Lepisosteus oculatus: one gene and its partner. The protein of the gene in region 2 interacts with the protein of the main gene of each other region in a pairwise test. Links are inferred from orthologs where the notes say so. Each region holds a gene or a part of one and is shown on either strand. Other genes may lie near its edges.

Region 1 (7,569 bases), on a different chromosome or scaffold from region 2:
GTTGTGTACTTGCAGGTGATACAGCGAGCTCTTTTGCAAGGGAAAGTGCCTGGTGTGGATGGTTGCTGAGGGCGGTCAAGGGAGCTGTGGACAAGGAGGTTACGCAGATTAGGTGGTCGGCGATATGAGATGATAGGGCGATCAGAAAAGAGGGCCCCAATGGAGGGATCATCCTGTAGGATGGAAATGTTCTGGTTAATGGTCCTTGGGATAGGAAGTGTGTTAGGGTGGTAAGGAAGCACCAAAGGAATGCGGTTGTTACGGAGGGAGTTCCTGATCGGGTTGATGGTCCGGGGGGTGTTTTTGGCTCGGGCAAGGGCCCTGTCAATCACACTGCTGGGGTATCCTCTGTTCATAAAAAATGAGTACATTTCGAGGGCTTGGTTTTCGAAGTCGATGTCATCGCTGCATAATCGTCGTAACCTAAGGAACTGTGAAAAAGGAAGAGAGTTTTTAGTGTGGTTGGGGGGGTGTGGTTGGGGGTAGTTGATAGACAAGTGGATGTCTAGAAACGGAAGAGTGGTGGAAGAGTGGTGGAAGAAATGTTAACCGTATATTTGAGGGACGGGTGGAAGTTGGTGAAATGGTGCAGGAAGAATTCAAGCTGATCGTTGGAGCATGACTGAATATACTGCTTTTGATTGTTTATCTGAAATCTCAATAATCACACATTCAACTCAAGGAAAATACATTATTTAAAATATCACTCAGTTAAAGAGATGTATCCCTGCTGCATTAGAATTTCAGTGTGTTAAAATTATGATATTGCACATGTTATTATATGTTTCTGGACTTATACTGTATATACTGTAGTGTTCTTTTAACAGTCTTGTTTCAGCCGACCTTGAAGATGTGACTCTCTGAAATGGGAAGCAAAAATAGAAACTGTTCCACTTTTCAGATATGATACAATTGGTTGTATGGAGAAGCAGATTACAGACAAAAAATCTAAACACTTGAACCCCCTGCTAAGTATGCATGGGATGTTCACATCTTGTCCTTTATTTTCACAATTTCACAATTCTGCCATTTAAAGAAAGTAATGGGTTACATAATAACACGTCTACTTACACAGAGATGAAAGTGCTCCTATATCTGACCTGTAGAATTCTATGTTTCAGGTGCTCTTTAGAGTGCTGAATATTTACTCATCTTCCTTGTTTGGTTCTGATTTGTTCTCTGGAAACACCTTTGAAAGACTTTGTAGCTGTACTTATCTAGTAAATGGAGCTCTATTACTGATGCAGCAACTTCCAAGAAAGCACACCAAAATTCTTTTGAATAAAATTCTCAAACTGTTACAAAATTATATTGTTAATGAAAATATTATAGATTTGAGAAGCATAAAGCTATGTCTCAGACATACTGTATGATTATCTTTATTGAAAATATTTTTTCATATATAATAAGATATATAATAGATATAAAGATAAAGAGTAAGACATCTATTAATGTAAAAAACAAAAAACTATATTTTTGTCTCAAGATTTTTTAAAAAAGTACTCAATTCTGTACTTCTGACGTGAGCAACCAGTCTCCATATATACGAAACGTCACCCTCTCTTCTCCCTCGTTCGTTTTCTGCATCCCTCCTCCACCTTTGCAACTGCCCAATTGGTCGCATGTGGGTCCTATCCTCCCTGTCCAATGGCCGTCAGCCAAGTGGGTTAAGCCAAGTCTTCATATCCCAATAAATGATTCTAATTTCTCTCAACCTTTCGGCTGCTGTCATTCCTCGTGAAAGTATTGTGTTGCATTTGTCATTATCAGTCACACTGCTCATTTTCACTTGATCCCTGTACAACGTTTATAAAAGAGTAGTACAGTAGATAAAAAAAATCTAAAATCATACTACAGATATTTATACAATGGAATAGGTCATATTTGTTAAGTATACGTTTTGTGTGCAAATGTGTTTTTAAGATACAGGACAAACAGTATGTATTTGGATGCACAATACAATATCCTGAGAAATACATTCATCTTCATGTTAAACTAAGAAAGATTAAACTTTATATTTTGATGTGTACAAAAACTGACTGATTATTTGAGCATTTTTAAAAGAAAGAAATACCTTTACCAGTGTGCTTCAATTATTATTATTATTATTATTATTATTATTATTATTATTATTATTATTATTAGACATTAAGGCCCTATTCTTTAACAAAAACTATAGAGCCATGTACTTAAAAGTCTTGCATAAATTTATCCGTCACTTACCCATCATTTCATATTGCATGTTAATACTGTATACAGTATACCAAAAGGTCTTACTGTTTTTTCTAAGAACATGCCCTTGTGCTTTTAGAATAGACTTATGACGTTGAATGGTTCGAGAATAATGAATAGGTCTCTTGTTAAGTTACAGAACAGGTGTAGACTGAATAAATATTTGGACCAAGATTCACAATCAGTAGTCTGATAGCATATTTTCCGTCTTCACGAGTTTAACACTGATATTTTATTTTATGGTATAAGGAATAAGGTGTGTGGTTGTAAAATACAGTAAAAAAGCTGAGAACATTAAATATTTCACTGAGCATCGTCTTTCTGTCTTTTTAAGGGAAGCTAAAAAAGGATGTTTTCGGCTGGATATGTAAGTTGCTTTTTTCTCTTTTCTTTTCATTGGATACATTTAGCGTGCTTATTTCCTGCACATTCATTTTCTAAAATAGACTGTATGTTTTAAAACTATCCCTATTCTCATTACAACTAAACTGAAATAATAATTAGTTTTTAAAAAATAAAGGTGAAGAAAGATACATTACCGCACACGTCATAGATACTGCATGAAAACATTTTCAGCTGTATTTTGTACTACATCTGCCATAAAAGTTACAACTTTAAACTTGAAAAAAATGAACCAAATACCAAGTGCTCAAAATGTTATATTATTTTTCAATGTCTCACACATCCAAATACATAAATCAACATGTATCTCTTTTTATATCTGGACTGCTTTTTTACCCAGCTCAAGACCAATCTGTTTATCTGTAATTTCTCATTTTAATTATATTCCTCAGTCACATGTACACCCTGTTGCATCAATGTGCTTAACTCTCAATACAACAAAGTGATTGGTTATACATGTACAGTATACCAATATATATCTTCATTTTTTGTCATCACTGTCTTGTATCCATGAAATCTGTATGATATTTTAATTCTGAGCAGTTTGGTCTGTCTAGAGAAGCATGTACATTGCATTTCTTGCTTGTGCAAGACTTATTGCCATTAACTTACCTTATTGCCATTTTATAAATTTATTATTGTATGTTGTTCCTGTCTAATATTATCTTACTATCATGGTCGTCGGTTCTGACTCCCGTGAAACACGTAGTTAAAGACACTATGCGAGACGACGGTATAATCCTGAAGTGACTGGAGTAGGGAGGTGTCATCAGGGAAGACGCAGTAGGATCAGGCTGGGTAGAAACACAGGGGATAGTGACGGCAAAGTCTTCTTGTCTGCAAAGTCTATGTGGTCTATGTGGTCATGTGAGACTCAACCAGATTATGTTGAGATGTTTTGTTTGAATTAGGTCCATAAACTCAGCTATGAAATGGTAATGGTACCCAATCAGTCCCAGAAAGGCCCATAATTGATTTTGGCCTTTGGCAAGGGACAAAACTTAAAAAATGTTTCAAATCTCAAGCTCAAGCCTAACCTAACGGTTCTTTACCCACTGTCCCAGATATTGAATCTAGGTGAAGTCAAGTCAACTTTTCCTGTGATGATCATATGACACTGACCTCTCTTAGCTACTTAGGACAGCTGGAAAGTGGGATAGATGCAATTCCCAAGTTTCACTAATATGTCTACATCATCACAGCAAGCTGTGGCATATTGAAAGTATGGTCACAACGGACAATCTATAACGTGCATGGATTGTAAAAAACCAGAAGGAGTTACAGAAGCAGTTGGTGACATTATGTGTGATCTCAGGGGAATCTGCATGTTAACTTTATTAAGATCTAGAATGAAAATATATTTTAAAAAATAGTGGACAGATTCAGGAATTTTAGCCACCTGTACCTGTGCTTCCATTTGATTGCAAAGGAAGTTCCCCGTGATGATGCCTACGTCCTATTTATCAAGAGGAGCACCAGGTGGAAAAGGGCTGAGGTGCATACATCAGTCTGAGTAGTGACACCCTGCCCTGCCTTTAACCCCTAATACAGTAGTCCCCTTTTTTCAGCTTCTTTTCTTTCCCTGCCTTTCTTTGTTTTTTTTGGGGGGTTTGGCTAAACAAAGAGACAAGGATTAAAAGTGCTCTAGGGCATCAGGTTCCAATCTTGGCCTGCATGATCTTCTAGAATATGGGGAAGTCTCAACTCACTATCATAAAAAGGAATTATGTGTCACAAAAAGAGCTAGCACTGGACCTCAGCCTGTATTTCTACAGTATGTTTTGCTCTTCATGGAACTGAAGCTTTACAGTTGGGCATTCTTTGCAATTACTATGCACACAAGTCACCTCACTTTTTTCCTCAGTGTCAAATTGAGTAGGGTCTACCAGAGAGTTTTCCAAGGTAGATTGTAGTCCCAGAGTCTGCTATGGCTTGGATTTGTTTCAATTTAGGGAAGTGGAGTCACTGGCTGCATTACTTGGAAAAGTACCTCTCCAAGGTAAGGGTCAATATCAATGTCTGAAAAATAATATAAGTAAGAATCATCTAAATAGGATAATTTAAAAATGATCATCTGAACACACAGCAGTACAAACAATAATCAACAGAAGGGACATTGCATATATAATTATTTTGTGTGATCAGGGACCTACAGTATAAAAACATCACATACTGTACTACTGTTAATTTGCACTTTGGTGAAAAAGACTTTGGTTCCCAAACCCCGAAAATCTGACATACATAGTCCTGAATACTTAAGAAATTGGAATCTATTTTCACTATACTGTAATTCATGTTTAGAAAAGTTTGGTCAAACTGTATTATTTTTATCACAGATACAAGGGACAATTTACCCAGCTCAAGATTTTAACCCTTGCAGGGATACAGAAGAGCTGTTTGGAGCTATTCAAGGTATGAGTAAGCAATTTAGTGAATAAAATTGTTTTTATCAAAAGTTCAAGAGGAAGTCAAACCCTAATCTCACCCACTTGTGCCACTCAAGTAGCTGACTGTTTTATTCAGCCAGGCAAGGTAAGCCAAAAAAGAAATATTAATTCAAAACAAGCCTTTGCTGTTCTTTAAATTAGGGTTTGGATGTACTACTGAAACATATTTAATGTCAAGAAGTGATACATCTTTTTTTACATATAAAATACATTTATATGTATTGAATGTTTTATAAATATGAATATGTTCCTTTACAAATATTTCAATTTTAGCAACCCTCAGGTTGATAGGATAACAAACAGTTCAGTAGTTTGGTTAGATCCTAATAAATGTGAGAGACAAGATGTGCAGAGTATAGTTGACATTACTCGCCTAGTCGAGGGAGTTTGGCAGCCTCATTTTAAGGGTGAGGCTACCCAGACACTCCCTCTGTATTGAGGGATACAAAAGAGTTGTACTGCAGGAAGTCCCACTTGTGAGATTTAGTGTACTGCGTATATGTGGGCAATTGTGCAAGATTGGGATCTAACATTCTTCTTTCTTCTAACTTTGTTATAATTCCATTAAACCATCTCATTTTAAAGAAAGTACATTCCCATGCCCTTGGAAAATACCTTGGGATAATTTTTTATAATAAATAAATCTTTGCAGTAATTTACAAGTGGTAAAAGGAAAATAGATGAGATACTGTATATGGTTGATAGAAAGCTCAAAGGTCAAGCAAACTCTGTGGTTTCTGACTTAAAGGAGAAAATTCAAAGGTCAATCAAAAGCTCCAGCTTTGCACTGTAGAGTTTTGTAGCAGCTGAAAAGACTAACATACATTATTTTGCTGTTACGTGATTCTGAAACTAAGGAGATTCGGGAAATTTTGTTAAAGAAAATTCCAGGACATCCATGGCTCCAGATCTCTAAAGTATCTCTGGATGTTAAATTAATTGGAGTAGAACACACCCTTGTAATCAAATCTTCTGGCAAAGTGGAATGGGTGACATTAAGACATTAAAAATCAGTAATAAAAATATTTACATTTTAAGCATTATTTAGTCTGGGATTCTTTTTTTATGTTCAGGATGCAATAAAGATGTGCTGATTGATATTCTGACTCAGCGCAGTAATGCACAGAGACAAGTAATTGCTGAGGCCTACAGGGAGATGTATGGTCGGGTAAGAAGATTTTTTATTTACTTTATTACTTCAACTACAAAGCAAAGCTACTGAGGGGATTTGCTTTGGTATAGTTGAGGTGCTCATTTGGAAGGGAGGTTGAGCCCTGCAGTCCAACTTCGTCAATTTTATGTCATTATCCAGCGATGATTAAGTCTTCTGCAAGCCACTATGAGACTTGTAATGTAAAATGATGAACAGCTCCGATGTTTCAGAGGAAAGCCCAACCACAAGTTGAGTAGACGTCTTCCAAGATTAATTATAGTAGTGAGGTTTAAAAATTATTTGAAAATTCCAAACTTCAAAAAACCTGCTTAATTCAGCACTATTTTGATTTGACTGGTAATATGAAATAAATGTACACAAAGATACAGAGGCGGAGGAAGGCTAGTGCATAAGATCAACTTTATAATACAATTCACAAGTATCATAAGTGATTAAGAGTATAATTTTGTTTCTGTAAATAAAAAACATTTCTTTTAACGATTCTTAAAGAAATGAAATGCCATCAATTGTTCAGAACTGCATGTGTGGAACTGCAGAAATAGAAATAAATACGTAAATAATAATAAATAATGAAAAAGTAAATAATTTCTGTTTTAGTTGTTCTTTTCTGCTTTTATTCTTACCTTTGAGAAATTAAATCACTTTATTGCTTTGTGAAACTCAGAAACAATACATGTGAATTAATACCAAACAGAGAAACAATGGCCATATTCACAGAAGATTTAAGTTGAAAATGTATTACTATTATTATTAGTTGTATTATTAGTATTAGTAGTATTATAATTATTATTTACAACATTTTCCAATGTCTTTTAATTATAAAGTTTTGTAAGAGCTGGTCCACAGTGTCCTAAATCATAAATCAATTATATTGACAGCCAGGGCAGCAGATTACATCAAGAAAGTCAGGTTTACTGTCTCCAACCTCTGCCGGTTTTCATGAACAAAACTATAAGTAGGGACATATTCTATGGTAAACTATATATATATATAGTTAAAAGTGAATAATTTAACATCAAAGGGATGCTATTAAAATCGTGCAATGCACCATTCAGATTCCTCAAATTTTACTTATGTTGTTAAAATAATGACTGATTAGAAATAAAAAAATGAAGCACTTGAAAAATTATACAAAATAGTCAGGGTGAATGTAACTTTAAGAGTGTCTTCTACATCATTGAGAACAGGAATCTTTGTTTGGGTACATATAAATATTTATTATAAAAATATATATATGCAATAGCACAGTACCTTCACATGGTCTAGAGGCAGAAAGGGTTTTACCACTTTTTTCACCCAGCAGGCTGGTCCTTT
Region 2 (7,970 bases):
GCTTTGTGGAGTGGTGTGGGGAGAACCACCTGCAACTGAATGTAGCAAAGACTAAGGAGTTGGTGATACACTTCAGGAGGAAGAGGGTCCAACCTACTCCTGTCTACATCCATGGGAGTGGTCTAAGAAGGGTCAGAGCCGACTTTACTTCTTGAGGAGGCTCAGGTCCTTCAATGTGTGTAGTAAAATGCTACATCTGTTCTATCAGTCGGTGGTAGGGAGCGTCATTTTCTACATGGTGGTATGCTGGGGCTCTGGGATTAGAGCAGTGGATTCTAAAAGGCTGAACAAGCTCATCAGGAGAGCAAGCTCTGTCATTGGGTCTGGCCTGGACCCCCTGGAGGTAGTGACCGAGAGGAGAATGGTGTCCAAACTAGAGGCCATCATGGACAACGTCTCCCATCCCCTCTATGACAGGCTTGCAGAAATGAAGAGCACGTTCAGCAATAGACTGATCCATCTACGGTGCGACAGGGAGCGCTACAGGAGGTCATTCTTGCCTTCTGCCATAAGACTGTACGACGCATCCACCTTGCGTCTGGGCAGAGGCAACATTGACAGTGACGTTTCTGGACTGAACAGTAAACTGATACATCTGTTCTTTTTCTTTTCCCGTTTAAAACTGTTTTTGTGCAATATATGCCAGGGACCTGAGCAATACATTTATATTTATAATCATATTGTGCAATACGACTTTTTTGTGTACTGTTCTGTTCTTTGTGTGTTCTGGACTGTGAGTAACTCTTCTTAGTGCACTTCGCACTGTACTGATTGTATTGTATTATTATTATTGTATCATTCGTTACACTGTGTCTGTGTTGTCTGTGTTAAGCTGCTGTTGCACTCCAATTTCCCTCAAGGGATCAATAAAGTATCTAAAATACAGATAATTCAGATTAAAATCATCCCGCTTTTTCCAAACAGAAATAATCAAAAATTCATATTTAGGTTCAGAAAAGAATCCAATGTTGTTAAAAAATGTCAATGAAATGAATGTAAGAATTTAACAAAATAAGGAAATTCGTCAAGGATTTTTGGAAACATTGTCTGCTCTTAAGTTTACATAATGGCAGTAGATCATAATGGAAACGTACAAGTGAGAAAGAGACTAACACTGAAGTTAAATATTGTGTAAGCTCCTTTTGATTGAAACCTGAGTGAAAAGTAGTCTGAGACAATGCCTCCTGGAACCTCACCTAAAGGTGACTTCAGGCACCGGGCACTTGATCCCATTGTGAAAGGGCTGTCTGAGGGAGATGGTCTGGCTGGCCTGGTCCACAGCAGACACCTCTCCCTGGTACATCCCCAGCGTCTCCCCACAGTTAATGGACACCAGGCTCCCCAGCCAGTCCGCCGCCATCCTGGCCTGCAACACAACAAGTGGCTTTTCATCCAACTGTCGGAGCTTCTGTGCATCGTGCACTACAGAACTGAACCCAAAACAGTATTCCTGTTAAACAAATGGTCTTAAACACGGGAACTTAATTTGTCACAGTAGTTACAATACAGAATATATATAGTTGCCTACCATATCGTAGGCAACCTGAAAGTTTTATAAGTGTCTTGTCAGCAGAGTTGCTCTATCAAGCACGTTCCCCTGGATCTCTAATTTTCTTGGTGCAGCATCTTATTTTCTCTTACCTGTGGGAGGTTAATGAAGCAGCCTGATGCCAGAATACTGAGAGCAGGTAACAAATGCAATGCAAAGTTCCACTCAGAGTTCCCTGGGTGTTATAAAGGTCCAAACACACACTCCGCCCCCAGAACATTTTTTGGATTTAATCATATTACACTGTATACCATGCTTAAACTTCACTCTGAATTCTCCCTGCACTTCATACACCTCACAATTTAAATAAAACCAAAATCGCCAACAATCACTTCAAACAACACAGAGGCAGGTGCCTGGGGTTGCAGCTAAGGCTCTGGACTCCAGACCAGTCTTGGTTTCTCAGGTGAAGCTCTGCCTTCGCACCTGCAACCCTTCCACGTCCCTCGCACTGCCCCAGTAAATCCCCTGCTGTATAAACAGGTTTCTGCATGGTCAATGTAAATCAGAATGATCTCTATTGAATTTAACAGGTGAAAAATAAAAAAAAACAGTGAAGTACTAAACAAAACAATCATTACTTTTGTTTTGCAACTAAATGCACCAAACATGATTTTCTTAATCTAAAGGGAAAAAATGCAAAATCGTATCCACTGGATTCGAGTTTTATGTTGGTGGTGAAGAGACTGCATCCAGAACTGGGTTGATTCTTGACTGCTTACCCATGTTCGAAAGAATCCTCTAAACTCCCTTGCAAAGGGTTTCAGCAATAGCAGCCTCCGAGTGTACAAGACAACAGAAGATTGCTGTATCCACTATTGTACTGCAAGACCATATAACCATCAGTTTACCACATGCACCCCCGAGTCCAACAAACCCTCATATTCTTATACTGCATATTAGGACTACAAAAGTTTACAACACAATTGTATTGATGTACATGTGCATTGCTTGACGTACTGCTTCAGCATCACGCAAATGTTTTGCCTGGAGATATTTAAACCTTTTATTTAAAAAAAAAACTCAACTTTCTTATACTACTATGAAGAGGAGTTGCCGAGAGAAGGGCCTTCACATCAGCGAGCAGGACTAAAACACGGACCTGGTAAATAAACCAAGGAACAGACGGGACTGTTCCTGACTAAACTGCGTGTATATGTCAATAGTTGAAAATTGAATGTAGTCAACCAGGGCTCACTACAGCATTAAAACTTTACGTTGTGTGCTACTACTACACAGCTCGTGAGTCCTATGGCTACGTCTTTCCATTTTAACCACAAAAGACCATAACTCTAACCCATGTTCTAAAATAAAAAACAGACGAAATACCTGCTTTTTGCTCCTCTCAAAAACAAATGAATACAAATCTGCGTTTAACTGAAATATAAATTCTATTCTGTATGTTTCCAGACCCCGAAGGCTCCGCTTTAATAAGCACCACAGTTCTTCTCCCGCTGCGGGTCACTTCCCGAAGGCCTCTCTGCGACTGTGTACGTCACTTCCTGCGAGTCCTGTCCTTTCCAGTCATTGGCTGAAAGAGACAGGCTGCTCGCGTGGGGATGAATTCTGTAATTTCGGTAGTAACTATTCCTGCATCTGTTCTTTGCGTCTGCACACAGACTGTGTTCTCAGGGATGTGAGCCGTCTGTAGCTAGATGCTACTGAAAGCTAGCCACCTGACTTCATGGGCCCTCCAGATAAACATTTCCCATGTTTTTGACCACTGAAATAGGCATACGAACAAAGAGAATATTTGTTGATCAAAGGGATCAAATATAGATGAGAAAAAATGTGGTATATACTCTTATAAAATGTATGCAGTATGAGTTTAAGAAGATACTTTATAGAATGCATAGGCTACATGGAATAAGAAATTTGGTTCAAGTGTCGTGCGGGAAGCAAGTCGAAAAAACGTACACACTTTTAAACTCTGTGATATTATGCATTTATTCTGTTTTACGGTTACCGAACTATTTTCTCTACTGTAGCAGAATAAAATAAAAATGATCAACAAATCTCGCATCAAATGAGAAAGACTGACGTTTCTTTTTCTCGTATTGAAATAATTCTTTGGTTAGAAACAGTTTTTGAAATGTTGGTGCGTCTTTACGTGTTGGAGGACAGAAACCCGTGATGATCTGTCACATTGAAGGCTGAGAATATGGAACAGGATATGAAATGAAACCACTCGGAAGGGTAGAGAGAAGACACACAGCCCAACACAACTTCATGTCAAATTATCTGTAAATGGTTAGTGTTCTGCTGAAAGATTCAGAATACAAAACACGTTCCCCTTTGTTTTAAAGTTTGAAAAATCTAATTTAATTGGCGTGAAATACAAATGTTATAGGACACGATTTCTAGGTTTACACCGTGATATGATTCAGGTATTCAAATGGATGGTGCCGAGAAAGAAATATTTAAAGCTAGGGAAATATGGCTGAAATGGAGTAATAAAGAAATTAAGAAAAAAAGACAGCTCACACTACAAATTACATTAAGAAACCTGAGGTTAAAAATAAATGAACTTAATGCACAAATCAAAAAGTGACACTGACAAGAATATTGCATCAGAAGAATGTAAATATTTGTACATGCTATAAAACGAACTGTAAACATTGGAATATATAGTTGAGATCATATGGGTCTGATATTAGAAGATGCAATATAGTTTATGTGCTAGATTAAATATTTAAATGTGAAAATGTTGACTGTCACATTTGAGAATGAAAATGCAAGTCAAAATGTATTTAACTAACCTATTTAGTATCAGTGCTACACAATATAATTGTATGTCTATAAAAATAAGAAATAAAAAAGACCGGGTTCATGTTCAAAAGGTTTATTATTTCCATCCAATTTATTACTTTATCCCATTTATTATCTCACAGAGATTAAATGTTTTTAAAAAAACAGGAACTCCTCTTATACATGCTGTAAGCTTGATACATGAATGAGAGAAAATAGCTTGATATAAGCAAGCACAAACCAAAATCATTTAAAAAGAAATTACCATAACTTGCATATATTTTGTTCTACAAGATCAGCGTAACTGCAACAGCTTGGAAAAAGGTCCTTCATGATTGCGTAATAAAATTCACAGATACACCTGTTAACAATACAAATGGCTGTACAATTGGCTAGAATATGTTTTTAGACAGAAAATAATAAAAGCTATTTTTAAGTCAATAAGGTACAGTATAATTCAGTCCCTCATCCCACAATTTGTTACATGTACAAAAACTGATATTTTGTTCAGGACCTGTAAAAGCCCTTAAATAGGTAAGTGTTGTTTGGTTAAGTACACTGTCACATTCTGGGATAAATGCCCCTCCTGGCAGACAAAGCATCAATATGTTACTCCACATATAAATATATGGCAAAAAAGACGAGAGACCTCAAACCTGGGATGGCTAGTGTGACACTTGTGGTCAATATTGAATCTTTCACAAATAACTCTACATTCTACATATACAGGTTAAAAAAAAAAAGATTTGTTCGAAAGGCGCCTAAGACACAAAGTATATTTCCTATACAGTGTCCATTGTTTCTGGGGCTTAACTTTGAGTTGTATACAATTACAGACAACCGAATAACAAAGCTCTTCCACATCACCAGAACAGGTTACAAACCGGTGTAAAGGCAAAAAGCAAATCACGTGCCATAAATCTGCGTTTGGATACAAGTAGCAAAACGTATTCAACTAAATAAAGAATACAATGAAAATCCATTTGCAACTTTGATTTAAGACCTAAATTCAGATTAAAAACTGAAAATATCCCCTTACCTATCATAACAAGAGGAATAAGACAACAACATTGAAACTGGTGCAAAGCAGTTTTAGAAATGCGCACAAACTGGAAGCTTTTGATCTGAGGCAGCACAGAACTCTTTTGATGAGTTATTTCTGATAAAGGAGCAAAACCCAAATAAGAGATTTACAGCAATTCCTACAAAGCTAAAAATCCCTAGTTTCAACATTTAAATATCAGAGTAATAATAACAGATGGGTTCCATTTTATACACTTTTGAAGGCAGACATCTGTTTTTAATTTTATTTTTCCCCATCAGTTCTACCTGATGGAACCACTCATATACAGAATGAGATAAGTCACTACAAACTGATCAGCCATCTCTGAAGTCAGCTTTCACACATTCTTACAGACCTCCTGCTGTACTGAAACTATAAAGTTATTTTTCTTTTGAGAACTGGTTTGGAAGTTCAGATTCAAGTCAACTGGAGCTTCAGTTAGAATTAATTCTCACACAGTTGCTTGCAATTACATTTTGGCTTTTCTTTTGAAAAGCAGCCCTTTACAATTTAAGAAATCTGTTGTGTACTTTGTATTGGCTTCTTCTGGCATTCTAGTCTCAAGTCGAAGACACATAGCTCCTGTTTGAAAGCCAGACCGCTGCGTCAGCAGCTCAACGCTATCAACCTCCAGGAACAGCTAGACACGGAACAGCCATCGCTCCCAGCGCGGCGAGGTGCACTGCGGGCTCCACGGCCGCCAAGGAGCTCACTCCGCGCGCACTCTCAGGCTGGCACGCAGGTGGCAGCGCTTGTGCTTCATGGTGAGGCCGTACTCGGGCGTCATGTCCAGCTCGTGGTCGGGGAGGCTGTGGAATGTGAGCTTCTGCAGGAGGATGGCCAGGAAGAGGAAGACCTCGGAGCGCCCGATGGACTCCCCAATGCAGCGCCGCTTGCCCATCCCGAACACCATCACCTTCTCCGCCTCCATCTTGTTCACAGTCATGCCCTCAGCGTCCAGGAAGCGCTCTGGGCTGAAGGAGGAGGGGTCCTTCCACGTGATTCTAATGAAAGAAAAAACAGGCTCAACTTGAAACAGGGCAGCCAACTTACTTTTCTGAATGGATTTAAAGGGTGATGCACTACCAGCTTTTCATAGCATTTCACTTCTGTGCTACTTTTGTCCTGTATGTTCTGTGTCCTGAAGACCCGGCAAAAGGCTTGAAATTGTAGATTACTAAAGAAGTAATTTTGATGCCTACATTAGCACACTTGACCTGGACCTTTAAATAATCGAGACTGCCTTCACAAAGTTTCCTTAAAAATCATCTTGCACATTGTTCTTGTTGTCGCAGCAGGTGAAATTGTACCTGGTTCTAAGTCCCAGAGTTTGAACAGTTTGGTTTTATTTAAAGCTGTGCTGAATGAATACCTGTATTAGACAACCTCTGCCAAAACCATAGAAATAACTGTTTTATGTCAATTATGGAAATCCAACTAGAAGTGCTTGCAGATATTATTTAGCTGTTCAGTTCATTAAAAATAATGTTTATAATGCTGATTAAGATTACTTTTGTTCTACTTAAATATCTTAAAAATCCAATAGCAAAGGCCTTCAGGTATGGTCCACTGCAGAAAGCCACACTCACGGGTCATGGTTGATCTGCCACTGGTTAATAAAGACACAGGTATCCTTGGCGATGTAGAAGCCGTTGAGGACGGTGTCCTTAGTGGTGCTGGAAGGGAGAAGCAGGCCGTAAACTGAGGTCATGATCACTCACAACAGGGGAGTAAAGCAGACTTCTTATACATATATTATATTCTTATTTGTCCAACAGCAAAACACCTCTTAAAGTTCATCGTATTAAGATTACTTGTGAAAATTGTGTTATTGGTCTGATTGGAGTGTTTGCCTATTTAATGCGATAGGTTTCAATAAGATATTTTTCAATGTTAAACAGATTAAGGGTGAAATGTATTTGCAGTTTTTAAAATATAATTTGCTACATTTATACAAAAGCACTTTGATTAAATCAACCACCTTTCCTGAACAATAATGCGTGCGAGTCGCTTTCGACTCCCGCATTGCTGCGACCTCTCAGAGGCTGGATGGCCAGTTACAGATTGTTAACATCTTAGATATGTCAGCTGCTTTAGTAGTTTATACAATTAACAAGAGAAAGAGGTTTCTGGGACATTCTTCAGTTTAGGATGTGAATTCCCTCTCGCCCATCAAGGGGTGCCGGGATTGTGTCCCGGCCCCGGAGGGGTCCTCACCAGTGCGGGATGGTGAAGGGCAGGAAGGAGGAGTGCCGGAACATCTCCAGGATGAAGGCCTCCAGGTAGGGAAGGATGGGCTTGTCCGACAGCCTGACTTCGCGCTCCCTGCCCACGTTCTCATCTGCAGGGGAGATCACAGAACCAGCTGAGCCAGGGCGTTCACCACACAAGCTGAGGGGCAGCTGGGGTGTGCAGAGCCCCAGAGCAGCACAGTCACGTAGTCCAGAGGCGAGAGCAGAAGGAGGCAGAATTGGATTAAACAAAAAAGGCTCAACTTACCCAGCTCTTTCTGGATCTTTTCCTGAATTCCAGGATAGGCCACCAAGTACATGAGAGACCAGGAGAGTGCAGTGCTAATGGTGTCAAACCCTGGGGTTGAGGAGGAAGACA

The links. The genes of interacting proteins can lie anywhere in the genome.
Region 1: the proteins of edc3 (region 2) and annexin A10 interact in binary tests that used the Homo sapiens proteins (3 or more experiments, as listed by UniProt). The link is inferred for Lepisosteus oculatus from reciprocal best matches to the Homo sapiens genes EDC3 and ANXA10.

Annotation. Positions count from the first base shown.
Region 1 is NC_090696.1:14,026,972-14,034,540, reverse strand, and holds the start of annexin A10, read left to right. Parts: upstream 1-4,561; coding exon 4,562-4,633; intron 4,634-4,970; coding exon 4,971-5,052; intron 5,053-6,154; coding exon 6,155-6,249; intron 6,250-7,569.
Region 2 is NC_090700.1:56,695,999-56,703,968, forward strand, and holds the start of edc3 (enhancer of mRNA-decapping protein 3), read right to left. Parts: upstream 3,021-7,970; 5' UTR 2,879-3,020; intron 2,487-2,878; exon of another isoform or gene 1,642-2,486; intron 1,367-1,641; 5' UTR 1,361-1,366; coding exon 1,197-1,360; intron 1-1,196. Other genes in the region: cyp1a (cytochrome P450 1A1), read right to left, coding at 6,070-6,364, 6,950-7,036, 7,578-7,701, 7,860-7,949. UniProt on the Homo sapiens protein: Binds single-stranded RNA. Involved in the process of mRNA degradation and in the positive regulation of mRNA decapping. May play a role in spermiogenesis and oogenesis.